Arabidopsis thaliana: one gene and its partners. The protein of the gene in region 1 interacts with the protein of each later gene in a pairwise test. Each region holds a gene or a part of one and is shown on either strand. Other genes may lie near its edges. The genes, in order: TAC1, TGA10 and TIP.

Region 1 (6,018 bases):
ACTATTTTGCTAAATTAAACACTTATATTTTAGAAGCTGAAACACAGAAATTTAGGGATTTTTGAGGAGTCTAAATGACTAAATTGAAACTGATGATTTTTTAAGTTGGAAACCAGAGTAGATCCCTAGCTACTATTAGATTAAACATAGTAAAGTTTCTTATATAAGTGAATCAAAGACAGCGAGATCTATGATGTGTTTATATGTAAAGTTTGTCTGAAATGTGTTTTGATTAAAGTAGGAAGTGAAGCTACTTTGTCTCGAGGCAAGGACCAAGGTGGTCGGGAAGTAGCTTCCTCTTTGTTTTGTGTTTTATTATAGTTTTCGAGATTATGGTGTTAAAAAAGAGATAGAAAATTGGTATATATGTGTTTGATCAAAAAAGAAAAATGGTATATATGTGTGTGTATGGATCGGATGTAAAAATATATGTAGTTGGGAAATATTCGATTTATAGTTAGAACTGATAAGTTTAAATTCATCAATAATTGAGATTTAGAAACTTCGCTAATTACCCATGCCAATTCTGTCAAGTCATGGGTTAATTAGACAATTTAAGTTTTGAATAAAGAGAAAATGTTTGCTTATATAATGGTACTTTTAGTTGTTTATGTGAAGAATATGTCCACATATTATATTTTTCATGTATGTGTATGGTTTGCGTTAATGGATACTACACCTCGTTTGTCTAGGTTTAAACTCCCCTATATGAAAAGTGGAGTCAAATTTCTACAAGACCGAGTCCTTTTAGAGAGTATAGGCAACATATAGTCTTTGCCAAAAGACATATTTGAGCACAAATTCGGATTAGACACGTGTGGTAGGTTAATTTGGTTTGATTTAAAAGTATCGCACAAATGTAAAGCTCTCGCCTTTTGAAGAGCCGATGAGAGCAAAACAAGCAAATCATAACCTGTATTTTCCTTTATTTCGACAAAGACAAACCTCTTTCCTCTTGTCGTTATAGAGAATTAAAGAAATAGATCATTAGTTACAGAATTTATTCTCATAACCCTTTCTCATGATTAGTCTACTATTTTTCTTTGATGCCGACAGGTAACTTTATTTTATTTACACAAAAAAAAAAAACTCACGACTAGACAGAGTTTATAGATAAATCTGAAAAATCTTAACAAAAATATATATCCAAACATTAGTTTACATATAAAAGTAAAACAAAATTTCAATAGTAACTCTAAAAATAGTCTTCTTGTGAATACTTTTATCCATTTCCTCTTTTTCTAACCAATCAAAATTTTGTTACCTAACAAAAAAAATAACGGAAATTTTCTATTGGGTTTCAAGTAAATAAGAGAAGCTGAATAAATTTTACAAAAGGAAAACAAATGTTTTTCCCTATATATGTACTAACGAACTAAATAAATCAATAATTGCGAGGAGAATAAATAATGATCCGAGGGAAGATCTCATTGGCATACAAGGCACAATAAGAATAAGCAAGGAAAGGCAGTCAAAAGAAGTCGAATATTATTTGTCTGTTAGAAAGCATAATCCTAAGTTCCCATCATTGGCTCATAGAGAACATATAATCTTTCTCCAATGATTTGATGTCTCACACTCACTAGTCACTACTTTTACTTTTCACATTTTATATGCCATTTGCTTGCGCAAAAATACACTGCGAATGAAGTGGTTGTAATTTGTGGTTTCATTAGTTTGATCGATCGACATAAAACGATTTGTAACAATAGATCCAAAACAGTTGCAAGTCGATCGATAACTAGTATGGGTTCAAGTCCATGAAATTCAATCACAGCTTTGCGGAATTCAATTGCTTAGATTTCTTGAAGAGTTTTGTTAGGAATTTCATGTCTCAACAAGAAGAAACTTAAAATAACACATAACGAATGTTAGCTAACATAAACATATTCACGTTGTAAATGCATTACGTTTTAATCTTAGAAATTCATGAATGTCTATATTCTTAAAGAATACCATAAATTTATCAGTACAGATTCGACATCCCATCAATCATTCGCATAGTTATAGCTCTAAAGATCTATCCAGTACAATCATATCAAACAAAGAAGGCTAAGACATACGAATGGACATGATAGAACATGAACAACAAAATTTTGTTTTCCACTAGAGCATATGTTCTCATAGCATTAAACCTTTCGAATAAGCATCTTCTCAATACTATTTAGCCTCACGAGGGTTATAAATTCTCACATTTCCCTACTGACTTCTCACCAAACAAAAAAAACTAGAAGAAGAACGATACATAAACTATGCTCACGCAAGAACTTGCGCGCATTATGGGGGGTGACGATGATGAGTATTGGTGAGGACCGGGTAATCTGCATCCTGAGGTTTAAAGCTTAATTTACGCAGGAAATTTGTATACGCATATACGTATGTGTATTAGTATACCTTTTAGTCCTCGGGATGCGGATTACCTCGTTCTTACTTACAATACACGTACTCGGAGACACGATTACTCATCATCTAGAGGTTGGTTTTGATCCTCCATTTCTTCTAAGTTTAAACATCATTAATAAGATATTTAAGACTGAATATCACCACACATATATAGAGTCAGTCTCATAGATGATGAATTGGTAATATTATATGACACTACTGACTTAAAATTATTATCATATAATATTACTAATTATATTAAAGTTTTTTTTCGTCAACATACACACTAGTTAAAAATTTGAATTTAGAAAAGTTCAATTGATGACTCATTTCAGGAATGCTCGAAACAATGGCAACGACGCTTGTGTATGTTTGAATTAGTGATATATCCGTTTTATTCATACTTAATTAAACTGGTAACTCTAACTAATACGCTGTATATTTACCTTTTTGTCTAGTGAATAAAAAAAAATCACGACGACCTAGTTTTATGTCTTTTATCTATTGCTCAAAGGTCGCTCATTGCCTTTGACTAATATGTTTAGACTTGTGATTTCTGCTATTCAATTAAATTAATTAACTGCGTTTATTAAATTTCAGTTAGGTGACTCATAAAAAGAAAACATAGATTAATTAAGTTATATATATAGTATAATGATGTACATACAAATTCAAAAGTACTATGGATCTTGCTTTGAAAACGAGTCAGTCAATTGATTTTGTAGATTTATTCAGTTTTCATAGATGTCCAACACTGGAATAATTGTTGATAATTTCAGGAAAAGCATATGTTAAAATAATGCTAATAACAAAAACAAAGCTAGTGATGTGTATCAAACTACCAATTGTGCAGAGACAAAAACAAAACGCCAAAATGCTGTGTTGTACCCTTTTTTGTCAACTGCGTATCTGTTTTTTTTTCAGTATAAAAAACTTAAGAAATCTCTAAACCTAATTATTGAGAGTAAAAAAAAAAACAAATAAATAATCAAATTTTACTGAAATAAATTGTAATGATCAAATATATTTAAGCATTGAATTTTTTTTGTGTAGTCCTAAAGTTGAATCTTGAAAGGCTGCTGATCTTAATTTGTCTTTTTTTTTTTGTTCGTGCAAAGCTGCTGATCTTTGTTATTGTCTCATATGTAAGTGGTTAGCATAAAATAATATTAATTTCTTGAATATGCGTTGTATATTTTGGTGACCATATACAACTACTTACATCGATCTTGTAAGAATTGCACATAGTAAAGTAAATATATCACAAATCATATGTCCGATAACTTCATCTATTTATATATTTAATGATGAAAATTGTAGTTTGATAAAAAAAATAAAAAAAATAATGATGAAAATTGTAGAAACGAAAGTATTTTAATCGTAAAATGGAAAAAATTGTTAGATTTTTATTGATCATTTTTTGGTAGTTGCTATACTGTTTATAGGTTTTATATTTAGTTGTGGAAATAATTTATAACTATAACAGAATAGATTATTCATGTAATGACATAGAAACAGTTGTTTTCACTTTTCTTGTTTTGTCTTGGTGCCGTGGTAGATTTTGATAATAAAATTAGAGTGTTGATTAATTTATATTTGCCAAAACAAAATAAACAAATAAATAATTTCAAGTTGACCAATTCATATTTCTTGATGGAAAACACTGATCTCTTCTCTTCTATTCTTTCTTTCTCTTATGAGGAATTTTCACAATCTTTGATCATCTTCTCCTTTATTCTACGGAAGAAATCTATATATTCTATATATGGAAAACATCAAAAACCCTAAAAACGCAGATGATTGTTCCGATAGCATATCAAAAAACAGTCATCAAGGCGTTGATGATTCCCTGAACCAGTCAAGATCTTACGTATGCAGTTTCTGCATAAGGGGCTTCTCGAATGCTCAAGCACTAGGAGGGCATATGAACATCCACAGAAGAGACAGGGCTAAACTCAGACAAAAGCTTATGGAAGATAATAAGGATGATGTCGTCGCCGAGAGTGATGCATCCGAAGTTGTGTCTCTAGACCTTAATGAACAACAACAACAACAAGGAGAAGCTTTGACATGTGATGATCACGATCAATATGTTGATAACGATATAAGTCCTAAACAGAAATTAGAGTTTTGGGTTCAAGAAAGCAAGCTTGATACTAATGATCATGGAAAGGTCACGGAGGCTAGCATAGATGGTTCGAGTTCGAGTCATCATCGTGATATTGAAGTATTGGATCTCGAGCTTCGGTTAGGCCAAAGCGTCGTAAAGAAGAAGACAACATAGTCTCTGAACGATGAATCATATATTGATTGCATTGTATCAATGGGAAAATCCCTATGAAACACCAAACTCTCTAATCCGTCTATTACAAATGGATTCGTGGCTCAAATTGTATTGTAAGGTATGCATTTGTATCTTATTGCTACCATTATCGTTGTTGTACCTTGTATTGATATTTGTTTCCTTGCTTGGGTTAATTTCACCAACAACTTTTGTAAATGACATACACGTCCAAACAAACAAACATATATATAGAAATTATATATATTTGGTGTTTGCTTTATAGTTGTTTAGGGAAAATGAATAACTAATAAGCTTAACTTAGCTCAACATTATTGATCTGGTCATGGTAGAGACTATTCAAACTTGTTCACTGAGAAATATTGTTACAGTTGAGTTATATATTGGTAGTCGTCCTCAGATTTTCGAGTAAGCATTTGCCAATTATGACTCTTATATTCGAGATTAGCACTCAACATTTAATTATATGTTAGCAAATAGTATAACATTAGCTAGCAAACTTATAAACGATAAATTTGACCAAAACAACATAAACCAAGGTCACTTTATCTACTTTTTGTTCTCTGAATTCTGAAAACGAATTTGAATATCGTATTCTAACAGTGAATATTGCATTTATACTAAAATTTACGATCATAGCCATAAATAAGTAGTTATGTATAGTCAAACTATATGTAGTTATACAGTACTTTAAGACGTTTGAACCGCTAAGATTCCCATAATCTGCATGATAATATAATGTATGTAAACTGATACATGCACAATTGCACATGATAAATATAACTAAATTGATACATGCCGATTTGCGCATGATAATTATAATTATATGCTCTATAACATGTTAGGATTTAAAATGAAAAGAGCAAATGGTTCAAGGCTGCAACTTGGTGACGCCACCAATGATGACCTTTTACGTCTTAACCACGTTCCGGTTTGGTTCGAGAACTTGTTTGAGATCCGCTTTGGATCTAAATTCAGATTGGTTTTATTTGAGATGCCGTGGAAAATTGGATAATTTCCACCAGAGATATATGATTTAATTAATTGGATTTTGGATTCGATTATAGTAAACCGATAATAGTGAGGCAGTAACGAACAAAACAACTTCAACCGGATCATTGGGTTGGTTTAGTTTACTAATTGAACCGGTTTGATAATGTTTAAAAAATAAACAAGTGACAACGAAGACCAGCAGGTCCAGCACACGATCCTAAATCCTGTGAGCATCGTCTCCATCGCTGGTCTTCCATTATTGACGAATCTCTTTGCCTTTTTTTCTTCCTTCTTAAACAAACCCAATTCGATTTCAACGAACGCCTCTTCTCTCTCACTCT
Region 2 (10,537 bases), on another chromosome or scaffold:
ATTTTGTACGTGACGCCTTTCAAGATCATAGCTCTTGCGGGTGGGATGTTCTGGATGAGGCATCCTAAGTTCAGAAGCAAGATGCCTTCTGCTCCAAGTAACTTCTTCAGGAAATTACCTTCAAAAGCAGATTGTATGCTTTGAATTGTAAAACTTCTTTGTGGCTTTTAGGTCTTCTCTGCTCGTAACTTGTGTTTCTTGTGTTCGTGTGTTTATCTGCTCTGTTTTATTATTTTGTTCTGTTTGCTTCTATTCTTATCATGTACTGTGTTGTTGGGTTTACTCTAAAACCCAAAAGTAGTGGGCTTTAGTTATAATGTTTTGTTTGTACGTTTTTTCCTTCTCTTAAAAAGAAATAAAATTCAATAGAAAACTTTAGGGCCCAAAAATTTACGGCCCAAACGAATTTGTAGTCCAAGAATAAACACATGTATAATCTGATTGCTAGTGTATGTACTTAGAAACTATTTTTTTTCAAATATTTGCGGCTAAATCAATCTCGTTTTTTGTGATGTAAAAAGATTTTTGTTGTTTTGATTTGACCATGCATGTGTACTACTGTAATGTTCACTTTTATCAGTCAAGAAATAAAAATAGAAGAGTTGAAAAAAATTAACTGGTGACAGCAAAGAAATGAAAAGTAAAGGAGAGAGAGAAGGGCGTTGAACCCAAAGCAAAACGGTACTGATCCCAAGTCCCTGACGGTATCCTACAGAACTCACCATTTGTCACCTTCCTCACTGGTCAATGCTTTAATTTGACCTAACAAGTGATAAGTCTTGCATGCAACTGCAATTGTTGCCAGCCTTCTATTTTTGTTTCCTTTCAATACTCTCTCATGTTCTTGTGTTTGGAATTGAAGATCAAGTATAATTTTTCACTTGAATTTGCATAAGGAAGAATTCATTAAAAGGTATGGAATACTTGTCTATATATATAATCTGCATCTTGATTAAAAACATAATAGTAAGAATCATATAACAAAAAGAAGCCAAACAATTTTCCCTAATTGCACTGTATTTGAGTAGAGAGACGATATATATGATAAAGAGGTCAAGCTGGCGGCTAACTAATCAACCTATTCTCTTGTTTTTGTTTTTGGTTTCCTTCATCAGTTGTTTTAGTATTATCCATCTTGCCGAGGACGGGCTAGCCAGAGAGAACTTAGAGCTTGAAGACGGTGGAAGTACTCCGCAACGGCTAGAAGACACCGTGCTTCTTGACGGGTCGTCAACAATTGGTTCAGCCTATGGATCGTTTGGTGCCTCAAATTATCCGCCTGTAAGTTTCTAATGTATTAGCTAGTTCAAAACTAAATAAGAGTTATAGGGAAAATGGAGAAATAGTAAAAGCAAAACAAAAGATGGACAAAGTAGTGCACATGTTATTGACTAAGACCAATTAAGGACAAATAATCGAATTGGACCATCATTAATCTCATAAATATAAGTATTAAAGACTAACTAGAGAGGAAAAAAACAGATAAAGGACTAATTAAGCATTATAATGATTGTGCATGACCCGAAATTATGTGGTTGATTGACGACTAATGCCGATTATTCAACATGTTGATCGATCAAAAAATCAAAGCTTGTTAGTAATTCACTAATAAGAACACGACACCAACATGTCAAAAAGGTGAAACCGTGAATTCCATACCCTCGGTCCCACGCCATGCTTCATGATACTTTTGATCATTAATTAGAATCATACATATATAATCAACCTATTATCAATGATATAAAAGTAGACAAAAAAATGCAGAATCAAATGTAAGTAAAGGAATTATTCTCAAGGAAGTGTTTTCGGAGGATGGGATACTTGGGCAGTTACGTCCATGACATCATGCAACGATATGGGCTCCAAGCATTCCATGTTTTTATTTGATGTGATATATTATAGATACATAATATATGTATTTTTCTTTTGGACTACATATATTGGAATATGTATACTTAATACATACTTTCATGGTGCCAATTGTCACGTGCGTTTAGAGAAAATTGAATTCATTACCCCTTTTTAGTAACTAACCCCACATTTACCACCTATTTTAAAGTTGGATCTTTCTCCAAATTGTGAGCGACTAACCGTGTAGCGAAACACAAAAACTTTTTTTATAGGCGGAACAGGAACAATTTAGAACTAATTATATTAAGAAATCATTGAAAGATGCCAACTTGTATATGCATGTATCTTGTATAGAATTAATTAGCCGAAATGTCCATTTGCATATAGAGTATAGACTTATACATTAATATACACAAGCAGATATATATATTTCTTTGTTTCAAAAACTTGCCTGTCCTAAACTAGTAAATGATTAAGAAATAAATATTAAATTAATAAACTTGGTCGTCTAAGAAAAGCAACCCGACCAAGTTGATATAAGACAAGAGAAGTGTTTGTTAGATACCTACTTGCATAATGTCCGAATCAAGAGGCAAATACTTTCCATTTCATATACATATACATGTTAATGCATAATTATTAAGTTTGCGAATTAGTTTTGACATCTTCTTTAAAATCAACCACTTTTATTCTATATACACTTAATATATTACAAATGTCCTCTAACAAATTATGGCCGACGTTATACCTATATATGAGTTGTACACAAAACAGACACACACATATATACAAACATCTATATAAATTTAGATAGCGTGTTATAACAGCCAAATATAGAAATATATAAGTATATGATAGTTGAGTTTAATAAGGAGTAGTTCAAAGAAACAGAATATGTATTCCTAGTCTGATTAGGACCACATATATCCTCTAGGGGTCCACTTGTATATCAACTCTATAGGTATATTTTTATATAAAGATAAAAGATTGGTATATTGATATATAATTGCACATAAACTTAAAAAGAAAGAGTTATAAGGGTACCTGGAGAACGAAGCCCTCGAGAGCAGAGAGCTTGTTGAGAGCTAAGGACATGTGTGACATGAAATTGGATAGATGAGGAGGAAGTGGTGCGGAGGCAGGCGGGAGGGAGTCAGAGACAATGCTATCGGAAAGTGATTGATTCAACGCCTCGAGGCCTTGCGAGAGAGCCTCCTCGGCCTCTTGTGTGGACTGTTGCAGCCCACATATCCCAACTATCTGTTGCTCCGTCAATGGTTCTATCTGGTTCACAATCACCTGCATGCATGCGTTTCTAATTAATACACACAAGTTGAGATATCGAGGATTAATTAACAATGGTCTTAATGGATGCATAAAGAACGTTGAATGCATTAAAGTGTGTAGTGTATGTACTCTGCACGAGTTACTAGCTACACCCAAAATCTCTTCTTTCCTTTTTATTTTCACTAAAAAGGATATAAGATTGAGACATTGCCAAAGGTCTTGTCAGATATGCACACCATCCATATATTAATTTGTATTATTAATCGGCTATCGTAGGTACTCATATTGTTTAGAATAAAAAGTAGGTTTAATTAAAATGGCTTTACGTAACCATTTTAGAAAAGAAAAAAAATGATAATCATCCAATTGACGAGCGTGCTAAAAATGTTAAACAATTATTTATTTTTGGTTTGTTTATTATGGTCGTCTCTGTTGAATTCCATGGTGGTTTATGTCTATCTCTCTCTCCTATGGATCCCATAAATCGAAAAAACAGACAGGCACTTTCTTTTGCATTATGCCAAAACCTACCTATTTCTAGAGATACTTCACCATCACACACAATTGCATGCATTCTTAATTTGTTTTCAAAATAATTTTACGTGTACCTTTATTATTGTCGTAATATAAAGACATTCACGTATATATGTTGGTTTTATACATCTAGAGTCACCCCATGCAATGTTATGTATATATATACCTCGTCCAACAATATCACTATATAGTCTATCTCTTGTCTGTCTTATCTATTATTACTATATCGTACCTCTTTTACGAGAATCAAAGACTAAATTAAAAAAAAAAATCTAAATAATAAAATAAAGTTGGAAGTACTATATTCTGTGGACATATATGTACGATATAAATAATAACAATGTCACAATTTCAGTCATTATTAGTATATGTTCTGCAAGTAATCCACAAAATTGATGGTATTAATGATTGTATCCTGGAATATTTTAGGTTCTAAGATAAAATTTAAAATGATTAGTCTTCAAGTAAAATTCCAAAATTTAGATTTATTAATCCATATTTGATTAGTTTACAATATCATCATGACTAATTATTGTGTGGGATGTGGCTCGAATAGAATAAGTAAATATCTCTCGAAAAACCTAAATATATGTATATGGCTATAAGAAAAGACGAGATGTACCTTAATGATCTCCGATGGACGGAAACCACCCATCCACAAGAAGCAACGTTCAGCTGGAGTTTTCCATGCTCCAGAAATGAGGTGGAAGACATCGGTCTTAGCGACCATAGCCTTGAGGTTAATCAAATGGTCATAATGAGCTAAACATGTGTCCACAAACATCCTAAGCTCGTTCTCGGACAAGTGTTCTTGTGTTGCCACCCTTAGTTCGTTTAATAGCCTCTGCTGCTCCTCCAGCCACCTCGCATATTCCATATCGAACACCGCTGCTTCTGCTTCACATTGCATTTACTCAATATCTCATTCTCTCGGTTTTCAAATTTTACGGTTTTTGAGTCATCACATTTATGAAACTATTAACGTACCAGAGCTGATGTTGCCAGGGCCAATGGGTAGTCCACCTTGCTGTTGATCTCCTCCTATAAGAGACCCTCCAAAGAATACGCCCTAAACATATATAGGAAATCAAATTAAATTGGTACATTTTAGACTTTAGGTTAAATACAATATATATGAAAAGACAGGTTCAAATATTTACTTGGGATCTGGCCCGTTGAATCTCTTGTTCTAGTTGGGTCAGTTTGATCCTACATGACTCGAGTTGCTGAACATAAGCCTGTCGTAATTTACCAAAGCAAATAACGTTATAAATAAATTTGGATATAAAAACTATATTTGCAACTTACAAATATTGAATGCTGACCTTTTTACGTAATCTGCTTTTTCTTGCTGCTTCTCTGTTTTGTGCTAGTCTTCTCAATGTCTGTTGAGAATTAAATTAATAAAGAAACTATCAAAAACCGAAAAGTAAAAAAAAAAAAAAAAAAAAGAATCTTATTAATTTTCTGCAGTTGTATGAATATACACTCACTTTAGGGTCTGACGATTTAGGTATGTCATGGTCCGATGAGGCAAGACCCTTGCGGTTCCCTTCCTTCTGCCATAACATTTAGATATGACCCATTAACTTCTAAAAACAACCACAACAAGTCTATATCTATACTCGAGTTATAGTTCGACAAAGCAATTAAATGATTAAAAAAACATAAATGGATAGAGACCTTGATGGATTTAGAACCTTGAGGAGGTTGATGAAACTGAGAATGATTGGTCAAGTCCATGGACGGGTCAGAAGCTGGTCGAGTGGAACCACTAGGTTGAGCAGCCGGAACTAATCTTGTATTATCGGTCTTACCAAACACATTATATAAAACAACCAAAAAACAATCAAATCACTACTCAATAGAAAAATAAGAAACGTATAATAATTGGTCTGACTTGATATTATATGAAATGGCTAGTAGTTGCGCTGACATTATATTAAATTAGAAACAGAAACCAACTAAAATTGGCATATATATATAGAAATTTATAAAGTAATAGTAATAATTATTACATTGTGTGTAGAAGAAGGAGGTGGCTCTATGTGCATAGGCTGAGATGGAAAGATGTTGAGCGTCGATGTTGGAGGTCTCATCGCCAAATTCTCTGCCATAAGATGAGTCATGTGACCATATGTATGAGAAATGGTCTAGTTATAACAAGTCATGTATATAAATATGTGAGCGGACTAGTTCTTCTAATTAGAAGAAAAAGGACAGAGAGAGAAAAGGGTTTAAAGAAGTGTAAGATATATGGATTTGAAAGATTTGGTGTCTGAAAAGAGAGAGGATCTGGTCAAAGCTGAAAGAATAGAGTACTGATGGCAGAAGAAAGATTGAAATCTGTTTGGCATGCTTTTGCTGTGACTCTCTCTCTCTCTCACACACCTAAAGGGAATCTTCCTTATCTGCTGAAACCAAAAAAACAAACCCCAATTCCCAAAAAAGAAAGAAAAGAGAGAGAGAGAGAGTGCATACGAGTTGTGTGATGATGATGTAAAGGAGAAGGAGCAGTTGATGGAGGATCATGATGTCCTTGTCCATCAAGATAGAGGAAGAGTGATGGGTCTATCTCTCCAATATCATACCCATCTTTGTTCCTGCACACATAAATTAAAGCTCTCTTATTAAAAACATGGGGATCATCAATCAATTCAAAAAGTTATTAAGTGAGTAAAAATTACATGAAGTTTCCATGGGAAGACGTGGCGGAGGATGATGATAAGTGTTGATGATGATTCTGGTGATGACCTTGCATTTGATGATGATGAAGAGAAGTCTATATATAGGATGATGTTTGAGAGAGCGTGTGATATGATAGTAACAGCAGAAGATGATGAAGAGAGATAGATTTTGATCTTCGATCTCTCTTATGTTGGTCTTCTCCTCTGAGGCAAGCTGATGATATATGATGATGATGACGGTGCTTTGATCACTAGCTAGAGAGATGATGATATACCTTCTTTTAATTCTTGTATATTATTTTCCTTTCTCTATATTCTTGGAAAGAGATAGAGATTATGTAACGGAGCATTTAAAGCTCCTTTGGTGTTTTTTTCAGAAGAGAGAAGAGAGGTCGGTTATATTGAAGTGGAGAGGGTTCAAAAACTTAAGAAGGATATTGGAGAGAAAAATAGAGATTGGAGAGAAGAACCTAAAGACAAACTCCTTTTTATTTTCTGATATTTTTGTTGTATAAGTTTCTTCTACCTTAAAATATTAGAAGACGACTTTGTTTTTATTTTTGTATGAAACCAAGAAAAATATTCTGATAAAGCGGTCAAGAACATGTCCTTTTCCATCCCCTCTCTCTTCTTCTTCCTTCTCTCTAGTCACATTGCTGATAACAAACTTGTATAAATATTTTTTGTTTGTTCTCTAAATTATTATTATTATATTTCTCCTATATATATTATTCAGCTATTAGATTTTTACTTTAAGATATACTTTTCAATTCCATCATCTATATTATTATTATAAGATTTTTTATTCGATTTTTAATGATCCATTAACCGCTCTTACATTCAATCTATAAACACTAGACATTATATGAAACAAGTTAAAAGTCATTATTATGTGATTTATGAACTTAGATTGTCAAATATATTGATTGAATTTTGTTTGTATCTCTAACTGTTCCATTGTACTTTGTTTGAATGGGCACTAATATGGTCTAGGTTTTGTTTTTGTTAAGCTAATTGGTTTGATCAAATTGAGCTGGTAAACTAATTTTGATTTCTTTCCCATCATTCACAAAATATTCATACAAATAATTTCCTCAAAATAGTTTTAACTTGTAAAGAAAAAAAAGTTTAAAATCTGTAGACTAATCCGTAAAGGTAAAACCGACGTTACTAGATAGACCAGTTTATGTTAACCGCGGTAATGGACCATCCAACCAACCCATATAAAACCAATAAACAATTTAATCTGCCGCGGACCGGAGTAAATTGGTTCGGTTAGTTCAATAACCGGATTCGAGATATTTGATGAGACCAATGAAATTATGCGTTCTTCTGTAGCAAACTCTTGAGACTCCAAAACGTTAAACTGTGTGAGACTTCGGAGATAAAATTTCCCAGAAAGCGTGAAAGGTTAACCGGAAGAAAATGCCGTCACAAGATGATGTTCAAAATCTTCCAATCGATATCACCTTCTCTCGTCTCGGAGGTAATGCAGAACTATCAATTACGAGTACACGGAATTTTAAATTTTTATATCTCTTTGGTTTTTTTTTTTCGTTTTCTTCGTTGGATTCGAATCTGCGTTGGTGATTATTGTCTTCATTTGATTTCAATTTTGTTGAATTTGAAGAATGGTTGGTGGATCGGAAGAGAATTCCGGCGGATTGGAGGAAGAGGGTTGCTGTGATCAGAGTCAAAATCTTAAAAGAGTTCTCTTCTTTGCCTAAAGAGATCGATCCATTCTTTCAAACCCTAGATCCTGAAGGTTTTAAATTCTTCAAATTTTGTTCTTTTATCAGTTTGGCGAATTTTCAAACCTTCAAAACGAATTCGTCTTAAATTGCGTTTTGGTTCACTGCTCTCATTTATAACTTAAAGTGTTAGTATTTTGTTTGAAAATGCCAAAGAGATTTTATTGGCATCTTTGTGAACACCGTAAGCTTGTTTGTTGTTTGGTTATGTCTGATGATTGATTAGGAGGAGGGCCTTACTTGGTTGTATTCTCATTCAAGTTTAATGTTGTTTTGCTTCCAGTGATCGGTTACTTGGAGGTCAAAAAGGTGTATGAGATTCTCCTGAAGACAACTCCGGAAAGCCGCAACATCTTTGGTCGACTTTCGGGTGCTTCTGTAAGGAAAACTGTCTCTCTGTTTCGCACTTTTGTTTGTGTTCATTGTCTCAGCTGTATAATGCTCTTTTAGGGTGTTTGGGAAGCAATTGTTCGTGCGTTTGAAAAAGATCACATTTATCTTGGGGAGGCAGCTCAGATAATAATTCAGAATGTTAATTACGAAATGTAAGTTGGCTTCTACTTGATTTTACCTATAGTCTCTCTACTTTGGCATTTCTGATCTCCCTAATATGTTTTCTTTTTGCAAAACATGAAGCCCTTATCTGAAAAAGCAAGTGCAAAAGGTTCAGCAACAAATGACAGAACTTGATCGTAAAGAAGCTGATATCAAAAGGAGCGTTGCACTCTCAGCAACAAAATACGAGGATGCTTGCCGAGAGCTTGGATTGCAGGTTTACTTGTAAACTTGGTTGATTTTCATCTATATGTTTTTTAAAAGGATCATATAAAGTTTAAACATTTAAGATATCAGGGAAACAATGTGAGGCGTGAGCTTTTGGAGACTGCGAGTTCGCTTCCTAGTACCTTTAGCAAGATTCTGGAAGTTATCAACAGTGACTCAGTAACAGGGGCAATGGAGTACTACTCTGCCTATGTTCAAGATGTTCATACTGAGAAAGATGTAAGATCACTGTTTAACTTCAATCTCTTTCTCTTTAAAATTTTGGTCCTTGTTTCCTGGAGATTGAATTGACCGGCTTCTGATCTGTCTGCAGAAGCCTTTGAGGATTGTCTTACAAAACCTGAAATACATTCGTGAAAACCCTCCATCATTAAGCGTTTTTGGGGACTCTGAAGGTCTCGATGCTGATAATATTCAGTCATCTGAGAATGCAAATGGTACAGATGCGGCTGCAGACAGCATTGATTGGGATATTACGGTTGAGACTCCTGAGATAGATTGGGATGTTAGTATGGTAGAAGAAGTTGATAGTGGAAATGATCTAGGTTCATATGAAATTGTCAATGCCAGCGATATTCCTGAGAATTCTCCATTTAAAGTGGAAGAAAGCCAAGGCCTTGAGGTTGATGTTTCTGAGATTTCTTGGGATGTAAGTGTTGAAACACCTCAGGTAGAAGAAATAGGTGATTCAGCTTTGCTAGAATCAAACCAGACACAGTTGACAGATTCTACAACTCAAGTCTTAGGGAGTGGAGGAGAGAGGAGCCAGCTGTTGGAGACAGAATATAGGAATAAGATCCTTGATGATTTGTATGAGGTACTCTTATCACTAACTATCTAATTCTCAGTTTAATCCTGGATATGCTTCTTGAGTTGATGTCGTTTCTCTTGTGTCAGGTCAAGGCATTTTTGAACCAGCGTTTGATAGAACTGAGAAATGAAGATACGCTGTCCTTGCAACACCACGTGCAAGCAGTCTCCCCCATGGTTCTTCAGCAGTATTCTCCTGAAACCATAGAGCCAATGGTGGTTGACATCTCCATGGCCATTTCATTGCTAACAAACAAGAAATCTCGGGATCTGATCATGATCCTCAACTCCAAAAGGTGCGTTAGGATAAAGAATCTCTGCCAGGGGATCACAGTGAGTACCACAGCTTCTGATATATGTATTTGTTTGTCGAACAGATTCCTAGATAGGCTTGTTTCAGAGCTGGAGGAGAAGAAGCACCGTGAAGTGAAGTTAAGAGAGAGCTTGAAAGATGTGGGTAGAAGACGCATGGAGCTGCAGAATTCACTTTCTGCTATATGGCCAAAACAGGTAACCTCATGTTCTTAAAAAGCTTGTTTTGGCTAAACTGTGGATTATCAGAAATTTGGAATTGGAAGGGGCTATTATCTAACAAATTCTGTTTATTGATTTTGGTATTGAATACAGGAAGCTGCACTTTCGAAAACAAGAGAACTCAAGGAGCTATGTGAGACAAGTCTCTCTTCCATGTTTGATGGAAGACCTGTGAATATAAGAGGAGAGATCAATACATTGTTGAACGCTGGGGTTTCTGCTTAGTTTGATCTTTGGGATTTGCTAGAAAACTTAGTTTCAGTACACCAAGTGACCCTGTTTCTTGCTTTAGGATTTTGC
Region 3 (7,833 bases), on another chromosome or scaffold:
GATTTAACGTTTGACTCGATGAAATGTAGCGTTGGAGCCGCAGACGCGGAGGAGCCCGAGATTAGAAGCTTAGCTCAGAATGTTTAGTAGTTTTTTTTTAATTTGATAATGGTTAGGGGTTCAGATATATTGAAGAGAGTTTTGTTCAATGGAACATACAAATCTTGTAAGTTGTATTGATTCAGGTTCAATGGTAGTTGAACCGTGTCAAAGTGTCACTCTGTAACCAAGTGAAGAAATTTGTTGTCATTTAACCGTAAAATTGTCAATTTTACTGATGTCAAAGATATATATATTTTTTTGGTAATTTTGCATATGCATATGGTATATATGGATCATATATATTCCATGTTTATTTTCAACCCTTTACTTTAAAAGTTACGAAGAATTTAGAACAAATTACAAATATGGACTTGGATCAAAAATGTTCATAAATTCTACTTCTATAGCTTTTTCTTTCCCCGTTTATAATATATGGTATTCGGAGGTAACATTTTTCTTATTTTTTCTGTCAACCACATTAATTGTTTGAGATCTCTTTAACCCTTTTGTAGTTAGGACAAATGTTAAGAATCCATAATAGTAAAACTAAATATGTATTTATTTTTGGAGCTTTTATTTTTAATCTTTTTTTAAAACACTATATATATAGTGGGTGGTTTTCTATATTTTTTTAACTAACGTTGATATAGGATTTAACCCACGATATACCGTGGGACAATTTGTGTTTCGCACAATCTTGATTCGATATGTTTAATATTGGTAGTGTAACAAAATAATAAAATGAAAAGAGCAATTGGGTAGGGTCGGATCATCATGAGATATTTAGTAATTTAACAACTTGTAGTTTTGGTGACTTCTTAAATTTTGATCAGATAGAACATAGCCACTAAGTAGGATCATGAGGAAATACATAATTTTCTAAATAAAATAAAAATAAAAAGAGAGATTTCCACATATTCAAGTTTTAATATTTTTTCTTTGTTTTTCAAATAAATTAAAACTAAACTAAAATCCACATCTAATTACCATTCAAATTTTTCAAACAACTAACATTTACACCAAAAAAAAAAATTACAAACTAAAATTCGAAAGCCAAAAACTATTTTAAAAGCTACATACATTTATGATTTTAAACAACGGAAAATAAAATATTTCCAGAAACTGAACTTTGAGATAGAAAGTAAACGTCTTTAGTAACTAAGTGATTGGTTGGCATGTCACCGTAAATTATTCGCTGTAAAATTTTGACCGTCAGCGTGTAAAATGCAACCGTGTATTTTATTGTTATACGTGTAGATATTAGGGATATAAAGTCTTAGAAGTAAATTTATTAGTCGTATCTTAAAATATGATTAGTAAATATTTTATAAAATATTATAGTTAACCAAACTATATAATAAACAACAACACAAATTTTGTGATGCACATATAGGTTAAATGGAATCTATATAAACATGTAAAATAGTTTATATGTTAGTCGGATAATAACTACATATTAGTTGAAAAGAATATATACATATAAATTTTTTGTTCAAATGTTGTTCAAAATTTATACATAAGTATACATTAACAAACAAAACTATACATGGTATTTATACTATTAGTATATATCCATCTAGTGCCTAGTGTACATTATATAAGCAACACATAAAAAATGATCATGAGGAAATAAAATTAAAATAAAAGAGAGATTAAATTAAAAATATAACTTATAGAACTTATAACAACATATGGTTTTAGGTTGTAGAAATATAAGATTTACGGTCACAAGATTTTTTTTTTTTCTAAAACTAATTCACAACAATTTGGTCTTCACAAAAACAATTATGGTTGTAAAAGATTACATTCCAACTAATCAAACACTATAAGAGACTATCCTCAAACTAGAAACGCAGAGGTCTAAACCCAAAAACAAAACAAAAAGCAATGACTTAGATAAACTTTGTTGGATATGGGCTTCGCCCCATTTAACATTCGGAGGCCCAAACAAAGAGTCATTGAAAACCTCAGTTAAGAATGATGAAGACCAGCCCCCCTGAGAAAGCCGCAGCCCATTGCGAGATGAGGCCCATTTTCTGGAAAGGATCAGCCGCCATAGAAGTTTCATATCGCTCAGAAAATGGTACTGTGTACTTTCATTGAAGTACTATAAATATTGACAGAGGAATGCCAGAAAAGGACACCTGAAGTCGGACGAGAATAGTACAAGAACATTCTCATTCGGATTCAAAGACATAAGCTCGACAATTGACTTGTGTAGTTTTATTCTTGTTGTATCTCTTAAAACGAGGCTTGGCTGTAAACATATCTTGTAAACGGCCGAACGTTAAGTTTAGATAAATAAGATCTTCCTTTTCGCTCGCTACTTTCTTCTCTGTTTTTGAGGTTTAGTTTTGAGTACCAACGGACTTCGATATCAAACGTTTTAAAGTTTAAACCTATTTGATTTACATTATTTGGTTTAAATAAATTGATTCAGACTTCACACGACCAAGAAAAAAAAATGGTTGAATTGGGTTCTCATCTATTGGGCTTTAACAACAAACACTATTAGTAAGATGGGCTGGCCAGTTGTGTAAACTGTTTCATATTGGTAAATCAATATGATACCAATTAAGTTTATTTAATTCTTCTTTAACTTCCGTACAACTATCACGAAGCTTCCTTTATAGCATCAACGTGTCAATATATGATTCGCTAGGTGACATCTCTCGTTCAGACATCCTCACCTTTTGACTCATATAACCCCTATTTCCGTAACTATTTTACTGCAATACTTCAGGGGTAAAATAGGTATTTACATTCTGTTTTGCCTTTTACGCGTAACGAACGTGGTTTTGTGTTTTATGACTTTCTGGGAAACAGTGGTACGCCTATCCACGCGCCACTTTTTCATCTCTTTGTCTTTGATATCTCTCTTGTCTGACCAAATCGTGTCACATCTCCTTCTTCTCCACTTTACCAAATCGTGTCAAATTTTAGGGTTTTTTCTTTTCGTACTTCATCAAATTCTGGAATCTGGTTTTTTCTTAGTTTTCTTCTATATACCTTTGAATCGCATCTTTGATCCAAATTCATTTTAGATATCACCTTGAAGTCGAATTTGTGATTTTTTCTTTTCCTCTCGAATTCTCAAAGTCTCACGCAACTATGAAAGAAGACATGGAAGTACTATCGCTCGCTTCACTACCGGTTGGGTTCAGATTTAGTCCAACGGACGAAGAGTTAGTCCGGTACTATCTCCGGCTCAAGATCAACGGTCACGATAACGACGTTAGAGTAATTCGTGAGATCGATATCTGCAAATGGGAGCCTTGGGATTTGCCTGGTAATTCCTTTCTTCATCAAATCAATTCGTTGATTCATCTTTAGCTCTTTAGTCTCGGTTTAGCAATTCCCAGGCTTCAATTCCGGTTTATGCATGTTTGAATTTGGAACAATATGATCAATAACTTCTTAGCTTAGGTAGTGGACTTAGTGAATTTGAGTAAAGATTTATACTTTAGTATTTGTGGTGTAGATTTTTCTGTGGTGAAGACAACAGACTCAGAGTGGCTCTTCTTTTGTCCTTTGGACCGGAAATATCCGAGTGGAAGTCGAATGAATAGAGCTACTGTGGCTGGATACTGGAAGGCGACGGGAAAAGACCGTAAGATCAAATCAGGAAAGACTAAGATTATAGGTGTTAAGAGGACTCTAGTGTTTTATACAGGTCGTGCTCCTAAAGGGACACGAACTTGTTGGATTATGCATGAGTATCGTGCTACTGAGAAGGATCTTGATGGAACAAAGTCTGGCCAGGTAAAAACCAACTTGGCAAATGATGGCATTAACTTGTGTGTGTAGGTCTTTTGTGTTTCTGATTGTGTTTGTTTGATTGTTTTTGGTTGCAGAATCCGTTTGTTGTTTGTAAGTTGTTTAAGAAGCAAGATATTGTGAACGGAGCTGCTGAACCAGAAGAGTCAAAGTCATGTGAAGTTGAACCAGCGGTATCGTCTCCAACTGTTGTGGACGAGGTTGAAATGTCTGAGGTATCTCCTGTTTTCCCTAAAACAGAAGAGACTAATCCTTGTGACGTCGCAGAGTCTTCTCTTGTAATCCCCAGCGAATGTCGTAGTGGATACTCTGTCCCTGAGGTTACAACCACCGGGGTAAGGATGAACAAAATACATTCTTTTCATTACAGGAGGCGGTACAACCGCTTTGTAAACTTACAAACTTCATTTTACTCAACAGCTTGACGATATCGATTGGCTCTCGTTTATGGAGTTTGATTCCCCGAAGCTGTTCTCTCCGTTGCACTCTCAGGTGCAATCTGAGCTCGGTTCCTCTTTCAATGGCTTACAATCTGAGTCTAGTGAATTGTTCAAAAACCACAATGAGGATTACATTCAGACTCAGTACGGTACAAATGATGCGGATGAATATATGTCCAAGTTCTTGGATTCTTTTCTTGACATTCCCTATGAGCCAGAACAGATCCCATATGAGCCACAGAATCTTAGCTCATGCAACAAGATCAATGATGAATCTAAGAGAGGAATTAAGATTAGAGCTCGACGAGCACAAGCCCCGGGTTGTGCTGAGCAGTTTGTAATGCAGGGCGATGCCTCAAGAAGGCTGCGTCTTCAGGTTAACCTTAACAGCCACAAGTCAGAAACTGACAGTACACAACTTCAATTTATCAAGAAAGAGGTGAGAAGAAGTTTGTTTTCATACCTTCTCATGTATTACAATTTATGATCCTTATATTTATGCGATAAAATGTATATAGGTTAAGGACACAACAACGGAAACTATGACGAAAGGATGTGGAAATTTCACAAGATCAAAGAGCAGGACTAGTTTCATATTCAAGAAAATTGCAGCCATGGGATGTTCATACAGAGGGCTTTTCAGAGTCGGTGTGGTAGCGGTTGTGTGTGTGATGTCGGTCTGCAGTCTAGTCGCATAAATCCGCTGAATGTGATGTTTGTTCCGATCAATTCATATAGTAAGAATAAAGAAAGTGGTTTTTACGGGTGGAGAGAGCGCGGATTTGTGTGTATAACAGGGGTTTTGGCCTGGTTCTGCATCTGTTGTTATTGTTGTTGTTTTTGTCGGCTTAAGCTTAACCATGGTCGGTTTAGGAGTGTAGTAGACTTGTAGTTAACATGTACGACGACTCATAATATTCAGATGGTAATGTTTGGAAATTTTTTTATTCCTGACCACATGTGTCTTGAGATTGCGTTTTTGACATTTTTAGTAGCCTTGTACAATCAGAAACAAACTACGAGTTCGAATGGTAGCACCGTAATGAAAACGGTGTCAAACATGTTAGTACGAACCGACCGGGTAGAGATATTTATTAGAGGTGTGTTTATTTCGTATATCATTAAACATGTTTAGTATGATAGGACGGTTTGATTGAGGGTATGGACTGTTAAACATGTCATTTGGGTATTTTATGGCATTAAGTATGCCCAGTAATATATTACAAAATTTTTGGACAAAAGAATGCATATTTGAATAGTTCAAATAATATGATCACCTCTCTTTTCTCTCCTTCATATCTTTTAGAGAGAGGAACTGTTGAATTCTGCCGACCGGATTATTCTGGTAAACTGCCGTCCCAAGTTTTGGGCTTTTGCCCGACATCTTTTTGGCTTTGTTAGCAAAGATGGCCGGTCCTCTTCTGGCAAATCCGGCTTCTACAAGAATAATTGTATCCTTACTACTTAATTGTATGGACCAAGAATAAAATTTCAAAATTTAGTTGTTTTCTTGATATCTGTAAAAAAAATTAAACAACACTTACAATAAGACATAGGAAGCAGTTTGTATCAATATTACTGTCGTGTTGCTTTGGAATAAAACCCAAAATACGTAAGTACCAAAACAATTATTAGACTTTTTAAATGTGTTAGCTGATATAAGTAGTATATATCAATGTTGTATCATACTTTGAATAAAACTCAAAATTATGTGTGAGTAAGAAAAGAAAATACAATTCTTTCCAATATATAAAAACATCGTAAATGCATAAAATATGTGCATTCGAATCTTAACGCCATTGCAGTTGGACTCATGTCTCCACATGCGATGCACCGAACACCAACTAACTTTATCTCAACTATTTTTAGAATTCACGTATCATGTTCTTTAATCAATTTAATATTTCGATTATAAATTTATAATGACCAAAGAAGGTGATGCACACTTTTAAAGCGTAAATATACAATAGTGGATATGAATGACTCGATGCTTGATCATTAACATGGCACATTACATAAAACAAAAGTCTATAAATTTCTTTTAAGTTTTATTAAAAACGGATGACAAGAAAAGAGAGTCTATAAACTTATTTTAGCAGAGAAACTAATTCGGTTGTGGCATAGAGTTATTTTTTTATATGGTTTAGTCAATATGGCTTTTTGTATTTTTGACTTTTTGGATATACTTTTGAATCAGATTAAAGTCGCATATTGCCGGTTGGTATAAAAGGAACTTCATGTTAATTCCAGAACGATCTGAAAAATCTTCCATAAATCAATTTTATTTAACAAATGCAAAAACCATTAGTACGTAAAATTAACCTATAAAAAACCAGAGGTTATTTATTGTCTTGATTTTTGATCTGCGATAACATCTGCTGAGTTTTGAGTTATACAAACCACTCAAGTCTCAACATTGAGATTTTTTCAGGTCCATTTGGATAAAACAATAGTTGAAACCCATAAAGATAGTGCGCGTCAAAAGTAAATTATACATTGAGACTCAAACTGTGAAAACGATCGGATACAAATTACATGTCAATTATTATTACTTAAAGTTCATTTTATAGCAGGTATACCAAAAAGTTAAGTCCAAATTCGCAGTTTTAGAGGAATTTTTTACTACAAGTAAAGTGATAATATCATCAGTTTTACCAAACGATGGAGACCAATTTTAGTTTGTAGCATAATATAGAAAGTATAAACTAATTTAGAGATGGACACAAGGTAAAATACAAGTGATTCATTTTTCAGCTGTTGTGTATGAAAAATTGTTTTATATGTTACTTTTATTCGTTCGAAACGGATATTCAACATTTTACATTAAAAAAAATTTCGTTGCAGGTTATTATGAAAAAAATACATTTCTATTGTACCGTTTTAATATTTTTATAACAAACACTAAAAATATCATTTACCTCTGTAACAAAAAAAAAATCATTTGCCTGAAAAATTCTTCAATTTCATTACCTAATCCACTCCAAACAATTACATAGTAAAAATGAGATTTTTGTTATTTACGAATACTTTCATTCTTATAAGCAATACAGTGGATATACTAAATTTAAAATTTTGTAACTCTTTAAGACTTATTAAAAATTATTGCCAAACTCACCAAGAAATATGGAAATAAATGTACTTTTTTGTTAAATCATATTTGGATAAAAGATGGACTCATAGATACGCACAAAAATGTATACATTCAGCATATTGTGTAAGCTGAGTCAGCTCCAGGTGTTTGGGCACATGTAAACATGGACCCGACCTTTTTACCTCTTTTTCTGTTATAAGTTTTTAAAATAAAATTAGATTACTTCACAAAGACTATAAAAAGGATTATAATTCCAAAAACAAAACAAAATTATAAAAGTAAAAAAGATATAGTTAACTAGAAAGTTACCAAACATGGATTATAAACCGGTCAACTACGTACATTAAGAATCTGAGTGAATTCTCTGAACACTTTCATCTATCATTTTCTTATAGCTAATTTTGTCTTAGTGGCGAACCGTAAATGCCTCTAAAGGTTCACTTTAATTTCTAAATAGTTCTTCCAACTATCGAGCTTATTTGT

The links.
Region 2: the proteins of TAC1 (region 1) and TGA10 interact in a two-hybrid assay, tested with the Arabidopsis thaliana proteins (one large-scale study listed by BioGRID).
Region 3: the proteins of TAC1 (region 1) and TIP interact in a two-hybrid assay, tested with the Arabidopsis thaliana proteins (one large-scale study listed by BioGRID).

What each region holds. Positions count from the first base shown.
Region 1 is NC_003074.8:2,851,994-2,858,011, forward strand, and holds TAC1 (telomerase activator1), read left to right. Parts: upstream 1-4,043; 5' UTR 4,044-4,147; coding exon 4,148-4,666; 3' UTR 4,667-4,904; downstream 4,905-6,018. UniProt on the Arabidopsis thaliana protein: Activation factor which mediates telomerase activity and potentiates responses to auxin through the regulation of BT2. Binds in vitro to the DNA sequence 5'-GACAGTGTTAC-3' of the BT2 promoter.
Region 2 is NC_003076.8:2,116,807-2,127,343, reverse strand, and holds TGA10 (bZIP transcription factor family protein), read right to left. Parts: upstream 6,873-10,537; 5' UTR 6,434-6,872; coding exon 6,360-6,433; intron 6,276-6,359; coding exon 6,154-6,275; intron 5,783-6,153; coding exon 5,691-5,782; intron 5,485-5,690; coding exon 5,356-5,484; intron 5,232-5,355; coding exon 5,166-5,231; intron 5,058-5,165; coding exon 4,998-5,057; intron 4,911-4,997; coding exon 4,833-4,910; intron 4,742-4,832; coding exon 4,660-4,741; intron 4,570-4,659; coding exon of another isoform or gene 4,567-4,569; coding exon 4,295-4,566; intron 3,151-4,294; coding exon 2,896-3,150; intron 1,280-2,895; coding exon 1,127-1,279; 3' UTR 887-1,126; downstream 1-886. Other genes in the region: FTIP1 (C2 calcium/lipid-binding plant phosphoribosyltransferase family protein), read left to right, coding at 1-144; AT5G06830 (uncharacterized protein), read left to right, coding at 7,785-7,845, 7,990-8,124, 8,394-8,488, 8,561-8,655, 8,747-8,882, 8,963-9,112, 9,207-9,710, 9,791-9,999 and 2 more. UniProt on the Arabidopsis thaliana protein: Together with TGA9, basic leucine-zipper transcription factor required for anther development, probably via the activation of SPL expression in anthers and via the regulation of genes with functions in early and middle tapetal development.
Region 3 is NC_003076.8:8,414,044-8,421,876, reverse strand, and holds TIP (TCV-interacting protein), read left to right. Parts: upstream 1-2,800; 5' UTR 2,801-3,153; coding exon 3,154-3,331; intron 3,332-3,523; coding exon 3,524-3,804; intron 3,805-3,896; coding exon 3,897-4,154; intron 4,155-4,239; coding exon 4,240-4,698; intron 4,699-4,777; coding exon 4,778-4,957; 3' UTR 4,958-5,502; downstream 5,503-7,833. Other genes in the region: AT5G24600 (TRP-like ion channel protein (Protein of unknown function, DUF599)), read left to right, coding at 1-87.